Linked DNA regions of Xenopus tropicalis. The protein of the gene in region 1 purifies or fractionates together with the protein of each later gene. This does not show direct contact. Links are inferred from orthologs where the notes say so. Each region holds a gene or a part of one and is shown in the gene's direction. Other genes may lie near its edges.

Region 1 (8,552 bases):
TAAGCAACCAGTTAGCCAATTTGATTGTATTTTTAGTATTTGTGAGACAACTGCAGCACCTGGAGGATATGCACACAAACATAGAAAAATATATGATTAAAAGGCAGGAGCCCCAATACTGTGGGACAGCAGTGGCAGACACTACAAACAGTCAAATCTAACTTCATGTTGCAAAGTCTGTTTAACTGTAAGTATTTGGCTCTATTGCATTCTATTAAAAAGCCATGCAATCTCATGCATAAAAACTGCATCCAAATCACATTGTTTTCTGTGCAGCAGGAGTCGCATTACAGATGTGCATATGCCTAATTAGGCCACTAAGGGCAGGAACTTTTGTGCACCATTTTGTATACTCATAGGCTGTGATGAACTAATTGCATACATGACTGTGAATCTGCTCACAGAGAGCCACAGAGCTGGCCATACACACACCAATATAATCATAAAAAACATAATGTAATGCATTTCTGGTATCTGGAGGTATTTATTATACATATGAGATTGCATGGCCTTTTTATGTTCATTGCTTTGGTTTGAACCAGATTGCTCTGCTTTTCGAACCGTGTGTGGGCTCCGAATTATCGTCCCGATAATTTTTGTACCATGGCGATTAGTTGTTTAGTTGATCGGACAGGTTAGAAAATTTCTGTTAGATAATGATAAAATCTATGACTGTATCTGACAATATCCTTGACTGACCTACAATACATTTCTGGGATGTCACTTTTGTTCGATTGTTGTCTGCTAATTATTTTATGTTCAGAACATCCTCCAATTTGTTATTTTTAGTAGTATCGTAGTAGTAAACGTTCATCAGAAGAAGACTAAAATCTGAATGTGTATGGCCAGCTTAATATCTAGCTGTGGCAACTTTGCCTTACAAAAGAGGTTATTTATTTGCTGTGCAACCATTCTAACATGTTTGGGGATGAAACTCCGCTATGATAGTCAAAGAGATAAATAGAGGAATATCTCCAAAGAAGCAGTAGATTGCCTTAGGCTACTCCATGCCCTGGAATGACCTGTTTAGGACCTAACCAGTCAAACTAATTGAAAGAGCAATTCTGCCTTTGTGTACTATTCCTTTTGCTGTGTGAACAAAACCTTTGATTGTACAACCTTTTTTTATACAAGCAGTATGCAAATGAGATGAAGCAACTGGTGAGTCCTTGTTTGTACCCTTGTGTGTTTCTTGTATATGAAGACTGGTGGAAAAAGACCTTACTGCATGCACCTCCATAGCAATGCTTTTACAAAGGGCAAATCCATTTGATCAATTGGGTGAATTTTTCTGGTGTGAGCTCTAAACTCACATTTTGATAAATCTTTCCCTAAATGTATTAATGGCAGAACCACCATCAGGGGGTGTGGAGGGTTAGTGTAGTAAGGAGCACCATAACAGATGTGGGCCCCACAAGACAAGTGGGCAGGTCTTATACTTAATAGGCCATGATGATGACATGGCCATTTATGCACTGGGAATTTTATTCCCTGATGTAAATTGTCCACACAAGTTACTATCATTGTAAATATATTTGGTGTTGGGTAAACGTTGTTTTGTATTTGTTATTTGGCATGTTTGTTTTGTAGATTGTGTGAATTAATGTATGTTTTGTTTGTTATGGCTTAATTATGTTTTTATTTATGAATTCTAATAACCATGAATACATATGTACATATGTAAATTACAATTATACATATTGACATAAATATAACCTTGGGCAAAATACCTCTGGGCCCCCATTCTTCTTGTTGGCAGGGCCCACTGCCTAGTGGACCCAAGTGACTGGTGAGCTAATAACTGAGGCCCCCCCTGGGTAGCGCCCTGCTTACTGAGTAGTAAAAATACATTCCTGCATTAATATATTATTTTTTCTAGTTTCATACACCATTCATACAAAATCTACCCATGCTATTCCTAACAACTGTCACAACTGACTACTATTACAATATACAGTTGGGTGAATATTCTAAATTATATATTGGTAACAGTGTAATTGTAAAGAGTAAACTAAATGGGGCATGTGCAGTAGCAGACACTGATGACTGTGGTCACTATCCCTAGTTGGGTTTGAACCTCAAGAACAGAAACTGAAAAAGAGAATTAGTTTACTGAGCACAGGAGGGGCCTAAAACCCTGGGATCTTTGGAAAACATGATTAACACACTTACTGCACCTCAGGGCCATTTCCAAGGTATTGGGGATTTTAATGTTGGCTGCAACATTTTTGCTGTAGTATATGGATTTGACAGAACTGGTTGACTATATAACCTATGGGGTTGTGTTCTGTAAAAGTCCTACTTATATTTTTCCTTGAAAGAAAATAATGTTTTTTTTTATGATTTAACATTTTGTTATGTTGGTGCTTCTTGCTGGGGTCCTTATGCTAGCAACCCGGAAGCTACATTTATGGGTACAGAGGTACAGAGAAGCAAAACGTATTCAAAAAGTATAATAAAAAACGGTACAGAAAAAAACACTGGACGGTGTTTGAGATTATCAACGTCTTCACGTAATAAACTTTGCCTTTAAGTCTGAGTGCAATGTCCGTGCAAATGCTCTGCACGAAGGATTTACACCAGGAGCATATGGCAGGCAGCAAAACGCAGTTACTAATAGTTCATTAGAAGAAGCAGCTATTTTTCCGTATAATCTATAATATCAAAGGAATCGAACTATTTCTATGGCTTGTCATTTCTCTGCAACTCTGTGTAAGTATATGCACAGGATGAGTTTTGTAAAAGTTTCTCCTTAACTGTTGACTTCATCCTGCCAGCGAGTAAGTAAGAGATTGACGTGGCTCTAAGCCAATCCCGAAGAAGCATCGTCCATTGACTAGAAGCCTTGTCCGCAGAGCGCATGCGCCGTAAAGTCTCCTACAGTTTGGAGTGCGGTGTGAGCGGAAAGTGATACATTGAGGCAAGTGGTGTATGCGAGTGAGTGCCATAGTGTGCTTTCTCTCTGTGGATACTGGAAGCTCAGTTGTAGGGATCTCTCGGCTTTGGCGTGCAAGCTGGACACTTTGCCGGGGATGTTCGGCCTCCGGGACACAATTGTAGGATAAGGAGGAGGTAAGGGGCCCCGGTGTTGTGGGGGATGGGGCAGCGGGACCTTTGCAAGTCTGAGCGGGGGTGGGGGGGGGGGGGTTGTGTGGGAAAATAGTGACTCGGAGACAGTAGTTGGCGATATGGGGTTATACTGGGGGCAGTAAGTTGGGCGGGGGTAAGTTCAGTGCTGCACTGATTTGTGCTCATTCCTTTAATCAGAAATACTGAACTTACCTTACGGTTGCCGATTGGGCCAGTCTCCCACAACCTACATTTCCCTTACTCTCAAGTCGCAATAAACCGTCAACAAAGGTGCAGACACTTTTATATAGGGACATTTCAACATCATTACAATCTATTTGCCCATTTGTGTCTGTTACCCCTCCCATATAGATTGTAAGCTCTACGGGGCAGGGACCTCCTTCATCTTGTGTTTCTGACTCTTATTGCAACTGTACCTTGTATTTATTTGTATTTATTGTTGTACTTTGTATTTATCCATTATCTTTAACCCCCTGTTTGTATTAATGTATTCTACTGTACAGCGCTGCGTACATAAGTAGCGCTTTATAAATAAAGCTATACATACATACAATCTAAATGCATACTTTTGCGCTAAGCTGTAATTGACTCAGCAAGAAACCCTTTATACACGTTTTTACAGACTGCAACCTTTACTAATAGTTATGCAGCTACTCCTAGCTTTTACTCTCAGGGGGTTTTAGAGACTGGCTGTCAGGAAATTGTAATTGTACTTTAAACTGCTGCTATTTGCTTAAATATTTAGTCTTTGGATGTGCATCACAGCAGAAACATTAAGGAAGTGTTTTTTTGGGTGAGACTCTCACGCAAAGTCCCTTAATTCCTTTATAAAAGGATTAGATACATACTTGCATAAGCAAAATATCCATTGCTACAGAAAATCAATTAAGCAATGTCATGTTAACCCTTAGCTTTGCATGAATACAGCAGCTGTCCTGCTATTCTGTTTTTTGGACTACAACTCCCAGCACCACTCACTGGACAAATATTTAGGGGAGTGCTGTGGTTGGACACTTCATAGTGTAGTGCTATTCTCTAGTAAGACCTCTTCAGAGTCTGAGCTGTCAATCTGTCCTTTTGTCACTACAGCGCCTGAGAGATCGGCTTGAAAATAGGATTTACAGCAGCTGATTCCGTTCATCTTTCCTTCAGCTGTCTTGGCCACAATGACCTTATACTGAATGGCTCAGAAGTGGCAGGTTTAAGTCCTGTTGTATTCAGCTTACCCGCAATATATATCCATAACTTACTGGCCTACCTGTGCTTTTCTGTAACTTGTGAGTTTCTCTGTTTAATAAACGGATATATTGCCCCACAAATGAACATGGAACTAATTGATCTGCTTACAATTTGGATAGGATAAGGGGATAAATACATTTATTACTAATTAATGGTGGTACCCCCCCTTTTTTTTTTTTTTTTTTTTTTTTTTAAAGTGAAATTTGTATTCACATCCTGCTATTTATGGGGGCACGGATAATTCCTAAATTGGATTTCTGCTATAAATATAACATGACTGTCTTTGAATAAGGGAGAGCTTTCAAATGCAAGAATAATGCTGGGATTGTCGTCACTTTGGGTAAAAAAAAAAAAGGCCCAGAACTTGTTGATGGGCTCACTCATAGTGAGTGGGGAGGGTTGCACAGACTGACATTATGTGGACCAATGTGTGAGTCTGATGTATTCAACTTTAAATATGAAAAACAGCTGGTAGTGTCTGATACATATTGGGTCAATCATAAGATCCAGTCGCATGTTCTAGTCAATGAGTCTTGCTGCGGGTTATTGTATTTGTACTGATACCGTGATACAGGGATGGTGCCAACATACAAACTGCTAATATTTTTGATGGTAATAAGCAGCAGCATTACTTCTCATCCATTATCTTAATTTCACCTGCAAATTACACATAACCATAGACACTCCTTTGTGTTTGGATGTGTTGCTGCCTTGGGCAAGACAGACGTTGTGGGGCCCTAGTATTTATATTAATAGGCATAGCAAGAGATGGCAGAAAATGTCCTGTCATCAGGGAGCTCATGATTCAATACATGCATTTTTTTCTTCCTACTATACAGGTATGGGACCTGTTATCCAGAATGCTCAGGACCTGGGGTTTTCCGGATAAGGGGACTTTCCATACTGAAAAAATTATTTAAACAGTAATTAATCCCAACTGGATTGTTTTGGCTCTAATAAGGATTAATTATATCTTAGTTGAGATCAAGTACAAGGTCTTGTTTTATTATTACAGAGAAAAGGAAATATTTTTTAAAAAGGGAGATGACCTTTCCGTGATTCGGAACTTTTTGAATAATGGGTTTCCAGATAAGGGGTCCTGCTATGCCAGGTATAGTTCCTTCCCAGAGACTGTCATCCTCACTGTTTCTATAGATAATATGACAACATATAGTTTTTAGCAGTAAGCATGTACCTTTTAGATAAATAAAGCTAGTTTATGTAATTGAAATTGCTTTTATCCCTGTACAGAAAATATCAGAAACAATTCAAATTGTTTTTGCTTTAGTGACATTCCATAGTCTGTGGATTTAATCATTTTCGCTAAAATATTTTGACGTAATTTCCTTTACATTCTTCAAATTACAGAAGTGGCATAGTTAGCTAGAATGTAAGTTCTTTATGTTTAACTGTTCCAGAACCATCGATGTTAATTAAGAGTAAGGCTGTCACAGCCCATGGTGGGGTAACTACTGATTCATTCTCTTTGGGTGGGAAACTCTCTCACCCCTAAATGTCGGTGGTAGCCAGCTGGATGAATTTCTATACCATTGCTTTTAACTATGTATCCCTTCTTTGTGCTAGAAAGGCATTAAACATTTTAAGCCCCCACTAGAATTAGAATTTTAGAATTAGGCTGTTTATCCTATGCTGATTGTAAAACTCAGTTCTCAGCTATTGTTCTCTTCTAATTTATGTCATTCTGGGCTTAAGGCATTGTTTTGAACTGTAACAGTGGTGCTCAAACTAAAGCACTTAAAGGGATACTGCCATGATTTCAATGGTATACTTTTTATTTCTAAATGACACTGTTTACATAGAAAATAATTCACTCTGCCATTTAAAATTTTATTCTTGAACCACAAATGTATTTTTTTAGTTGTAATATTGGTGTGTAGGCGCCATCTCAATGCATTGTGCCTGTGTCTGAGCTTTCAGAAAGAGCCAGCACTACACATTAGAACTTCTTTCAGATAACCTATAGTTTCTCCTACTCCCATGTATCTGGAGGTGTCCCAAGCGGGACTTGGATTTCTTACTATTGAATGCTTTTGTGATATCTTCTTGGAGCTGCTGCCTAGCTACCTTCCCATTGTTCTGCTGGCAGGGGGATGATATCACTCCAACTTGCAGCTCAGCAGGAAAGTGTGACTGAAGTTTACCAGAGCACAGGTCACATGGCTGTGGCACTCTGGGAAATGAAGAATTGGCTAGCCCCATGTAAAATTTCAGAGTTAAATATTAAAAAAATCTCTTTGTGTTTTTGAAAAACAGATTTAAATGCAGGATTCTGCTGGAGAAGCTCTATTGTGTTTTGAAAAAAATGTGTTACCATGACCGTATTCCTTTTAAAGCTGGTTTTATACTGCAACTCCCAGAATCTCCAAGACAGGAACCCACGTGACGTTTCTATTTCATTTCAAGTTCCATGCTTCTAAATACATATAGAATAAATATGAGATGGTCAGTTGTGTAGAATATATCTCCAGTGCCTTGTTATGAGGTTTATAGCACTCATGCAGAGGTTCACATTTTAATGTAATATACAGTGTTCATTGCTTCCCAGAAATGTGTTGCTGGGGACTGCACCACAGACTAAACAAGGCCTCTATGTGAACCATGCAGTCTGAAAAACACTTAACACTGTTTCTGCCTTGTTTTGCTCAAGGCAAAATGATAATATACTGCAAAACCTGTAACAGATGCACCTTAAAGTTGACTTTTTTTCTCAGAAATTATTAGATGGTTTCCCTTCAGCTCTTAATAAAGCAAACATATATATAAGTATGAAAATAAGCACACTGTATTTCCTTTTCTAAGTAATATATGTCTGTTTATATGAGCAGCAGTAGTTATGCTGCTTCCCCAAATTATTGGTTTAAATGAAAATGTTCCCTTAGTGACCATATCATCATTAAAAATTACACTACTTGCATGGCTTTAACAAAACAACACAATTTAAAATATACGCAAGCGAAAACCACGCACACTCACAAACACACAAAATTACAAAATTTGTACCTTTTTAAATGGGCTACTCCCTTTTTCAACATTCGTTCTTTGAAGGGGGGGGTCCTTTAATACAGGGGGCTTCTCAGTGTACTTGTGATTTGTTTTGGTTGTGCTTGTAAAAACAAAGTTTATTGTTTGCTATATTAAAAAAAATAAATTTCTTAATTTAAACACTACACAAAAAGTAAAAAGCCATTTAATTTGGGCCTGTCACCCTAAGAAATAATTCCAATTTCTTTGGTTATTTTATTAAAAATGATTTTGTGTTTTATGTTTAATTTGAGAGAGAATTTTTTTATACAGCTTTTTATGTCTGAGTGACGGGTCCATTTAAGGTTTCAGGTACTTGTCTTGGGTGATAATAATCGGTAGTATTATTTACAAGCATTTCTAAAACACCTACTTTAGTGCTGTACAATAGAAGGGGGGTATGTATACATGGAACACCACGCAGGAGAAAGAGGGACAACTTTACTATCTAGTAAAAACGTGTTAATGATTATAAGAAATATATGTTCTTCACAGATGAAATACATTGGCATCCATTGGTGTAGGAATCGCTGCATGTATAACGCTCCTGTGTAATTATGCAAAAATGTGGAAGCAGATTTTTTTTTCAGTGCAGGGTGGTGGTACATTATTATTTAAATGCCTATAAAGCCTTTTCATTGTTGTAGTTCCTGGCCCTTTAAGATGTGGGAGCCATAGTGCTTAGATTGTTAATGCTGTGGGTTGAATTGAAAATGTGTTTATGCAAGTGGGCATGAAAGGAAAGAACATGCTTGTCACTTGGCATAAAATGAGTTAAGCGTAATAAAAGTCAATGGTTTGATCACAAACAAAGTGCCCCTGCGCACAAATCCTAACAGGCCCATGGTGCCCTCTGGGGATACATGCCCACACCATTACAGTGTACTGTGACAGTTTAGATTTCTTGGCACTGAAATTCCTATTATTGCCTGCCAGCAGTATTTTCTTTAAATATCTCTACATATATAACCTATTAACATTAACATTTATTTATAAAGCGCCAACATATTCCGCAGCGCTGTACAATAAGTGGGTTACATACATTGGACATACAGAGTAACATATAAAGCAATCAATAACCGATACAAGAGGTGAAGAGGGCCCTGCCCAAAAGAGCTTACAATCTACAAGGAGAAAGGGTTGAGACACAAGGTGTGGGAATGGGCATAACCAGAGTTGTT
Region 2 (7,856 bases), about 22 Mb from region 1:
CCAGACTTCTACCCATAGTTGGGGTTGGTCCAAACATTCTCCTCCATCTTTGCTCATTTTTGGCCCAAGGATGTCAGCCTTACAGAAGCTGGAGAATTTGGCCTCCCGGGTATTCAGCCGTGGGCCTCGAGGTCCTGCCCCGGTGCCCCCTGCCAGCGCTGGCCCCCAGGCACCCTGCCTGCCATGCAACGTACTGAGCTGGGAACGGGAGAGTGAGTGTGCACATTTCGCTGCAGGGTGTTGGGTATGATGCTTCGTATTTGAATTGGGAATATTTAGGGTAAATACAGTGCACTTGGGGTGGGGAGGGGGCTGTTCTGTATGGAGAGAAAATACTGGAGTGTTTGAAATGACTGTGGAAACTTCTGTGGGTCCTGGGGCACTGATCCGAACAGATCTGAGCAGAACTCACTGAAAGTAACTTGGTTATTGCTTAATAGGTTAGTGATGGGGTCTGCTGGGGCATGTGGGGCTTCTCAAGCTACTAAAGCTTTTTTTTTTTTTTTAAAGATACTTTATGGCAGAAGTGTAATACTAACTGTATTAAATTGTATAGTGCATATTGCTTATTAGTTTGACCTGTGGTAATATACTATAGTTGAACTGTGATAATGCCCTGATAAGTAGGCTACCCCCTATATACCCAGCAATGGCATATATTGTGTGTCCCTCAATATTAATGTGATGGAGAGATGTTCCCAGTTATATTCTGCTTTCATGACTTTGGCAAACTGCGCGTTTTGCAATGCTCTGCGTGCCTACCTTATCACACCCTCTTCATGCACAGTTAAGAGCCCCTGTAAATAACTTTCTGTTCTGTTGATGCTCTGCAGACAGAGCTGCCTTTATGGTGTTCTAAAAAGAGACATTTTGCATAGTGGGGCCCCAAAGAGAGGAGTATGCAGGAGGAGTATGGGTATAGTAGCAGTTATAGTAGGGAGACATGGTGCCTATAGTAGCAGTGGGGGGATAATAGCCTCTGGGAAGGGACTGTGGCTTTGGGATAGCAGGTATAGTAGGGAGAGATGGTGCCTATAGTAGCAGTGGGGGATAATAGCCTCTGGGAAGGCACTGGGGCTGTGGGATAGCAGGTATAGTAGGGAGAGATGGTGCCTATAGTAGCAGTGGGGGGATAATAGCCTCTGGGAAGGGACTGTGACTGTGGGATAGCAGGTATAGTAGGGAGAGATGGTGCCTATAGTAGCAGTGGGGGGATAATAGCCTCTGGGAAGGGACTGGGGCTGTGGGATAGCAGGTATAGTAGGGAGAGATGGTGCCTATAGTAGCAGTGGGGGGATAATAGCCTCTGGGAAGGGACTGGGGCTGTGGAATAGCAGGTATAGTAGGGAGAGATGGTGCCTATAGTAGCAGTGGGGGGATAATAGCCTCTGGGAAGGGACTGTGGCTGTGGGATAGCAGGTATAGTAGGGAGAGATGGTGCCTATAGTAGCAGTGGGGGGATAATAGCCTCTGGGAAGGCACTGGGGCTGTGGGATAGCAGGTATAGTAGGGAGAGATGGTGCCTATAGTAGCAGTGGGGGGATAATAGCCTCTGGGAAGGGACTGGGGCTGTGGGATAGCAGGTATAGTTGGGAGAGATGGTGCCTATAGTAGCAGTGGGGGGATAATAGCCTCTGGGAAGGGACTGTGACTGTGGGATAGCAGGTATAGTAGGGAGAGATGGTGCCTATAGTAGCAGTGGGGGGATAATAGCCTCTGGGAAGGGACTGGGGCTGTGGGATAGCAGGTATAGTAGGTAGAGATGGTGCCTATAGTAGCAGTGGGGGGATAATAGCCTCTGGGAAGGGACTGGGGCTGTGGGATAGCAGGTATAGTAGGGAGAGATGGTGCCTATAGTAGCAGTGGGGGGATAATAGCCTCTGGAAAGGGACTGGGGCTGTGGGATAGCAGGTATAGTAGGGAGAGATGGTGCCTATAGTAGCAGTGGGGGGATAATAGCCTCTGGGAAGGGACTGGGGCTGTGGGATAGCAGGTATAGTAGGGAGAGATGGTGCCTATAGTAGCAGTGGGGGGATAATAGCCTCTGGGAAGGGATTGTGGCTGTGGGATAGCAGGTATAGTAGGGAGAGATGGTGCCTATAGTAGCAGTGGGGGGATAATAGCCTCTGGGAAGGGACTCTGATTATAGAATGGAACTGTGTATGACACAGAAAGCTGAAAGTGGCCTATAATACGGTAGGGAGCAGACTAATACCCCTCTGTATGAGATGTGCTGTTATGTATATCTGCACAGTGCAGCTCGCGGCCCCTTCCTGTGTAGGCTTATCACAGCATTACACTTTACCACAAATGCATGTAAGAACCATCTTATTCAGCAGCAGATTCAGTGTAGCCTATTGCTCACAAAGCTTACATTTTGCATCATTGTGTGGCCCTAGATGGGCACAGCCATCATAGCTGGCTTTGGAAAGGGCCACTGAGTTTTAGCTAGATCTGTCGGCCCAATAAGCTGACGGCTCACTCTGTAAGACCAGACTGACCATCACTGACCCCAGCAACCAAGGAACCCATTGTAAAGTTCCATCTAGCATACGTTAAACGTGAACAAGCCCTTTAACTGTAACTTAACTTTTAGTATTATGTAGAGAGTGCTGTTTTAAAGCAGTTTGCAATTTTTTTTTTATTGGTTTTGGAATAAGCTATTTGTTCTGAAACTTTCCAGTTTGGAATTGTAGCAGCTATCTAGTTGCTAAGGTCCAAATTACCCTAGCAACCAGACAGTGGTTTGAATGCGAAACAGGAATATGGAAGGTATGGGGGACAGAATTGAAGCATAAGTAATAAAAAGTAACAATAACAATACAATTTTAGCCTCACAGAGCAGTAGTGACCCCCCATTTGAAGTTGCTGACTCTGCAGTTTTTTGGGGTTTTTTTGTATAGAGCCCCTTATAGAAGAGATGGTAAAGGCAAATTGGGCTCCCCCCAAGTGTGGTCACTTTGACTAGCAGTGACGGTTGGTGGCAACAATTGCTAGCCAGCCTGGCCCATATGTGTGCTGCACAGAATAGAGGAATGCCCCAAAATAGAGACAGATAAGGCTGCTGCCTCTTTCCTTCCTCTAGTTCCGTATCTCTCTCTGCTGTAGCCTCCCAACTCTGCTGTCTCTTTCCTTAGATTGGTAGCACTAGGGACTGTCTGTTTCCTTACACTGTCTGTATGGCTGTCACATAAACTCAGCCCGTAGCAGTCTCCTTATAACTAAGCCGGCTATAAGCTGTCTGTCTGTGGTGGCATTTAGTTCTTCCTCTTTCTCCCGTCTGTCGTGGCGCCAGCTATGAGCAGTAATGGCTGCTGCTAAGTGTCTGTATTTCAGAGCTCAGTAATAGGTCTCTGGATAATAGATCCCACCGCTGCATTTGCTTTAATTAGCCTGTCTGCACTATGGTACTTAAATGTTTGCATTGTTTTACTCCATGGGGCACAAGTTGAATATCTGTGAGTGTGAGTTGGGGCCTGTCTCAGTAGTGAGCTGTCTCGTTCCTAACAGTCTGTGCTGTCTCGTTCCTAGCAGTCTGTGTGCGTCTCTGCACGCTGGGAGTTGTAGCTTCCTCATTCCGACTCCAGAGCAACTCCCTGCCTTCTGCACAGGTTTCCTGTCATATTCAGCCCCGGAGCATTCCATTGCTATTTACTGAAGGAATGATAAGCAGCCGTGCACCAGGTGCTCCAGCGCTGCCCTCAATGTATAACCCACACCTTGCTCAAAGCCAAGAAATGCCATAGGGATTGGTCACTTCCTCAGCCTGTCAGTCATGCTGGGCTCTGTAAGAATAGCTATTGGGGCCACTAGTAGCCATGCTGGGCTCTGTAAGAATAGCTTTTGGGGCCACTAGTAGCCATGCTGGGCTCTGTAAGAATAGCTATTGGTGCCACTAGTAGCCATGCTGGGCTCTGTAAGAATAGCTATTTGTGCCACTAGTAGCAATGCTGGGCTCTGTAAGAATAGCTATTGGTGCCACTAGTAGCCATGCTGGGCCCTACACATACAGTAGCCGAGCCATAACCCCTGATTTCCTCATGTGTGAGTACAATGCATTGTGGGAGAGCAGGGCCAGTTTGGCAACACTGCACTGTACTTATAGCCCCCCCCATGAGCCTCTGGCAGGGATCGTTGGGAGTTGGAATCCATTAAGGCGAGTGGTTGGCTAGGCAGTATAAACCCTGTACCAGCGCTTATCATTGGCTGCTCACACGTGAGCCAGTGCTGTTGATCTATAACTTTCTGTGCCCTTCATTTATCCCTCCATTCATACTGCCTCCAGTGTGCATTTTCTCCTTGGTTACCTCCATTTGTTTCCTCATTAACCCATTCATCCTTTTGTGCTCTTTCTACAGTGAAAGAATTTCTGGCAAAAGCAAAAGAAGATTTTCTGAAAAAATGGGAAAATCCAGCACAGGTAACAAACCCTTATTTGGCTGGGGTTGTTGGGTGGTAATGAACCAAGTTTATCAAGGTCTTGTAACCTTTGGCAACCAATCAGGTGTGCGCTTAAAAACAGTAGATATGTATATTTAACTCTTTATTGATTGCTAAGAGTATGTGCAGGGTTTCCTACAGGAACTGATTGTGTTGCACAGCATATTGCTTCATAAAACTGCCAAGAAGCTGTGCAAAAGAACTGCAAGGTAAGCTTTCTAAAGGCCCCTGCTGCCTGGCCTTCTACCACTGGTAGTCAGTCTGAAATGTAATCATTCCTATCTTCCCACAGTCACTCTGTAGGGTCCAAAGGAAAAGATCTGTTTATATTTCATGCTAAACCTGCCTCAGTCTGTTTGTTGGTGCAGCAGTATCACTTCTCCCCCTGTACCTCTCTTGCAGAACACAGCTCACCTGGAACAGTTTGAGCGCATTAAAACTCTTGGCACTGGGTCATTCGGGCGAGTAATGCTGGTCAGGCACAAAGAAAATGGCAGTCACTTTGCTATGAAGATCTTGGACAAGCAGAAGGTATGGCATAAATATTTTCTGTTTCCATGTGTGCAGGGGTCCTTTGTTTAGAGGTGTACCCCACTATAGGTTTGTAGGGGGAATCCCAATCAGTAATTTCCAGTTACTCATTCCGTTTGCCCCACCAGGTGGTGAAGTTGAAGCAGATCGAGCACACTTTGAATGAGAAGCGGATACTGCAGGCTGTGAATTTCCCATTCCTCGTGCGGCTGGAGTATTCCTTTAAGGTACAGTGGGGAGTAACAGTAGGGGAAGGTGGGTGGGGCTGGCATTGCAGGATGTACAATGACTTGGTGGGCTAAAAGGGAATAGGTGGGGAGTTTATAAAGGATTCAAACCTTTCGGGTCTTTAGACTACAGGTATGGGACCTGTTATCCAGAATGCTCGGGACCTGGGGGCTTCCGGATAAGGGATCTTTCTGTCATACCTTAAATTTACTAAAAAGTCATTTAGACATTAAATAAACCCAATAGGACTGTTCTGCCCCCAATAAGGGGTAATTATATCTTAGTTGGGATCAAGTACAGGTACTGTTTTATTATTACAGAGAAAAGGGAATCATTTAACCATTAAATTAACCCAATAGGGCTGTTCTGCCCCCAATAAGGGGTAATTATATCTTAGTTGGGATCAAGTACAGGTACTGTTTTATTATTACAGAGAAAAGGGAATCATTTAACCATTAAATAAACCCAATAGGGCTGTTCTGCCCCCAATAAGGATTCATTATATCTTAGTTGGGATCAAGTATAAGGTACAGAGAAAAGGGCATCATTTTTTAAAATTAGACTCCATTATAAGCAAATAATTCTATGGGAGATGGCCTTCCAGTAATTCTGAACTTGCTGGATAAAGGGTTTATGGATAACTGATCCCATGCTATACAACAACTGAGGGCTGGCATTGCTCCTGGAAGTGCAGAAAGACTGGCACCCCCATATATAAATAAGGCATGGCCAACATCTTCCATTTTGTGCCAGCAGCTATCCGTATGACATCCCATATGTATACTCTGAGAATATCTAACAAGTTGTATATAATATGTTGTCACTTTATTTACTCCATCTCCTTCCCTTTTGATACAACTCCCTCTCTGCACTATCCTAAAACTGGCCCCGCGATACCCAGCATCCTTAGGAACAGCTAGCTGGGGATGCTGGGAGAAGTTTAGAAATACAATAAGGCTGCTGGTCTGTATTGTGCAGTGACAGCGTAATGCACTCTAGGACTTATTCTCTCCCCCCACCCATGTCTCTTCTGCCCTGGATGTGCTATTGCCTCACCTTTCCTAATGTCTTTTCTTCTCCTCCCTCCAGGATAACAGCAATCTGTATATGGTCATGGAGTATGTCGCCGGTGGGGAGATGTTCTCTCATTTGCGCAGAATCGGGCGCTTCAGGTAAGCATAGGCCAAGACTGCTAATGCCCTTACCAGTATGCGCCCATTGGGCCCTGAATGCTTGAGAGTGGTCACAAGGTGATAGCCACTATCAGGGTTAGGATAGTTATCAATAACTTCAGAATAATGGCTCCTTATGTACAGAACTGCAGCCTGCTCTCTGCAAACACCAATGCTCCTTATTAATATTCAAGTATTTGGGCTTTATGGTATGTTTCTCTGTCCCAAACACCTTCTGGTTACAGACTGGTCTCTCATAGATGTGTTTATAGCCAAGAAACCTTAAACTTGTACCCCTGAAAGGAAAACTATACCCCCAGAATGAATACTTAACCAACAAATTGTTTATATCATGTTAAGTAGCCTATTAAAAAATCGTCAAACTGGAATACATATATATCGGTAAAAATTGCCTTTTTACACCCTTTCCCTTGAGCCGCCATTTAGTGATGGGCTGTGTGCTCCCTTAGAGATCAGCTGACAGGAAATAATGCAGCTCTAACTGTAACAGGAAGTAGTGTGGGAGCAAAAGGCAGAACTCTGTCCATTCATTGGCTGATGGGGCCTAGCATGTATGTGTGCCTTGGCTTGTTTGTGTGCACTGTGAATCCTATGATCCCAGGGGGGGCCCTTAGTACTTTAAATGGCAGTTTCCTATTTAGGATTACCCAGTGGCTAATACTCCTTAAAAAGTATATTTTTATGAAAATGGTTTATTTAGATGAAGCAGGTTTTTACATATGAGCTGTTTATACAATATATTTTTATAGAGACCTTCATTGTTTGGGGGTATAGTTTTCCTTTAGTGCCCATTACCTTTATACGGACTGTCCCTGCCATATATGTTCCCTCTGATGTGCTCACAAACACTTTATGGGCCAAACTTGGGGCAGACCGGCTGTTTATCTCATAACCTGATATATTATAAATCCCTGGGACTAAAGCAGGGTGACAGTCTCTAGCCATGTTGTAATTCAGGAAGTAAGCAATTCACCCCTAAATCTCACCCTGTTTGCCCTTCAGAGTGTTTCCCTTGGGGGGTGCAGGGGTAGAACCTGTCTCATTGTTCGTGAATCACAACCCTCAGTCCAATTGACCTACCTTTTAAGTTTTTGAGAGGAAACTGAGAGTGAACATATAAACAGATTATGCAGTAGATCATACAGTCCGCTGTGCCAACACTAAGGTACCAAGTGTCAGCACAGAAGAGTCTATGGTTCAGGGGGTGGCCTTACTGCCAGCGCTAAATGAGAGAAACCCAGGATCCCAGTGGTGCCATAGAGCCGTACAAACTCCTTTGCCACTGTCCCGTCACGTCCCCCTATAGGTTTACATCATGATGTTCAGATACGGCTTCTATTCCTCTCCAACTAATGTTCTACCTTCTCTCTGTGCCGGTTCTAACACCCGGATGTTACCGGAGATGGACTTTGCCTCATTTCCTCTGACAGCTGCTGTGGGCAAGCCCATGGTGATTTCCAAGTT

Evidence for each region.
Region 2: the proteins of akap13 (region 1) and prkaca purify together in Homo sapiens (affinity purification with mass spectrometry; 3 studies listed by BioGRID and IntAct, with this or other methods). This does not show direct contact. The link is inferred for Xenopus tropicalis from reciprocal best matches to the Homo sapiens genes AKAP13 and PRKACA.

The regions. Positions count from the first base shown.
Region 1 is NC_030679.2:111,689,663-111,698,214, reverse strand, and holds the start of akap13 (A-kinase anchor protein 13), read left to right. Parts: upstream 1-2,850; 5' UTR 2,851-3,072; intron 3,073-8,552. UniProt on the Homo sapiens protein: Scaffold protein that plays an important role in assembling signaling complexes downstream of several types of G protein-coupled receptors.
Region 2 is NC_030679.2:134,185,504-134,193,359, reverse strand, and holds part of prkaca (cAMP-dependent protein kinase catalytic subunit alpha), read left to right. Parts: exon of another isoform or gene 1-70; coding exon of another isoform or gene 71-212; intron 213-4,358; coding exon 4,359-4,420; intron 4,421-4,842; coding exon 4,843-4,971; intron 4,972-5,099; coding exon 5,100-5,198; intron 5,199-6,288; coding exon 6,289-6,371; intron 6,372-7,856.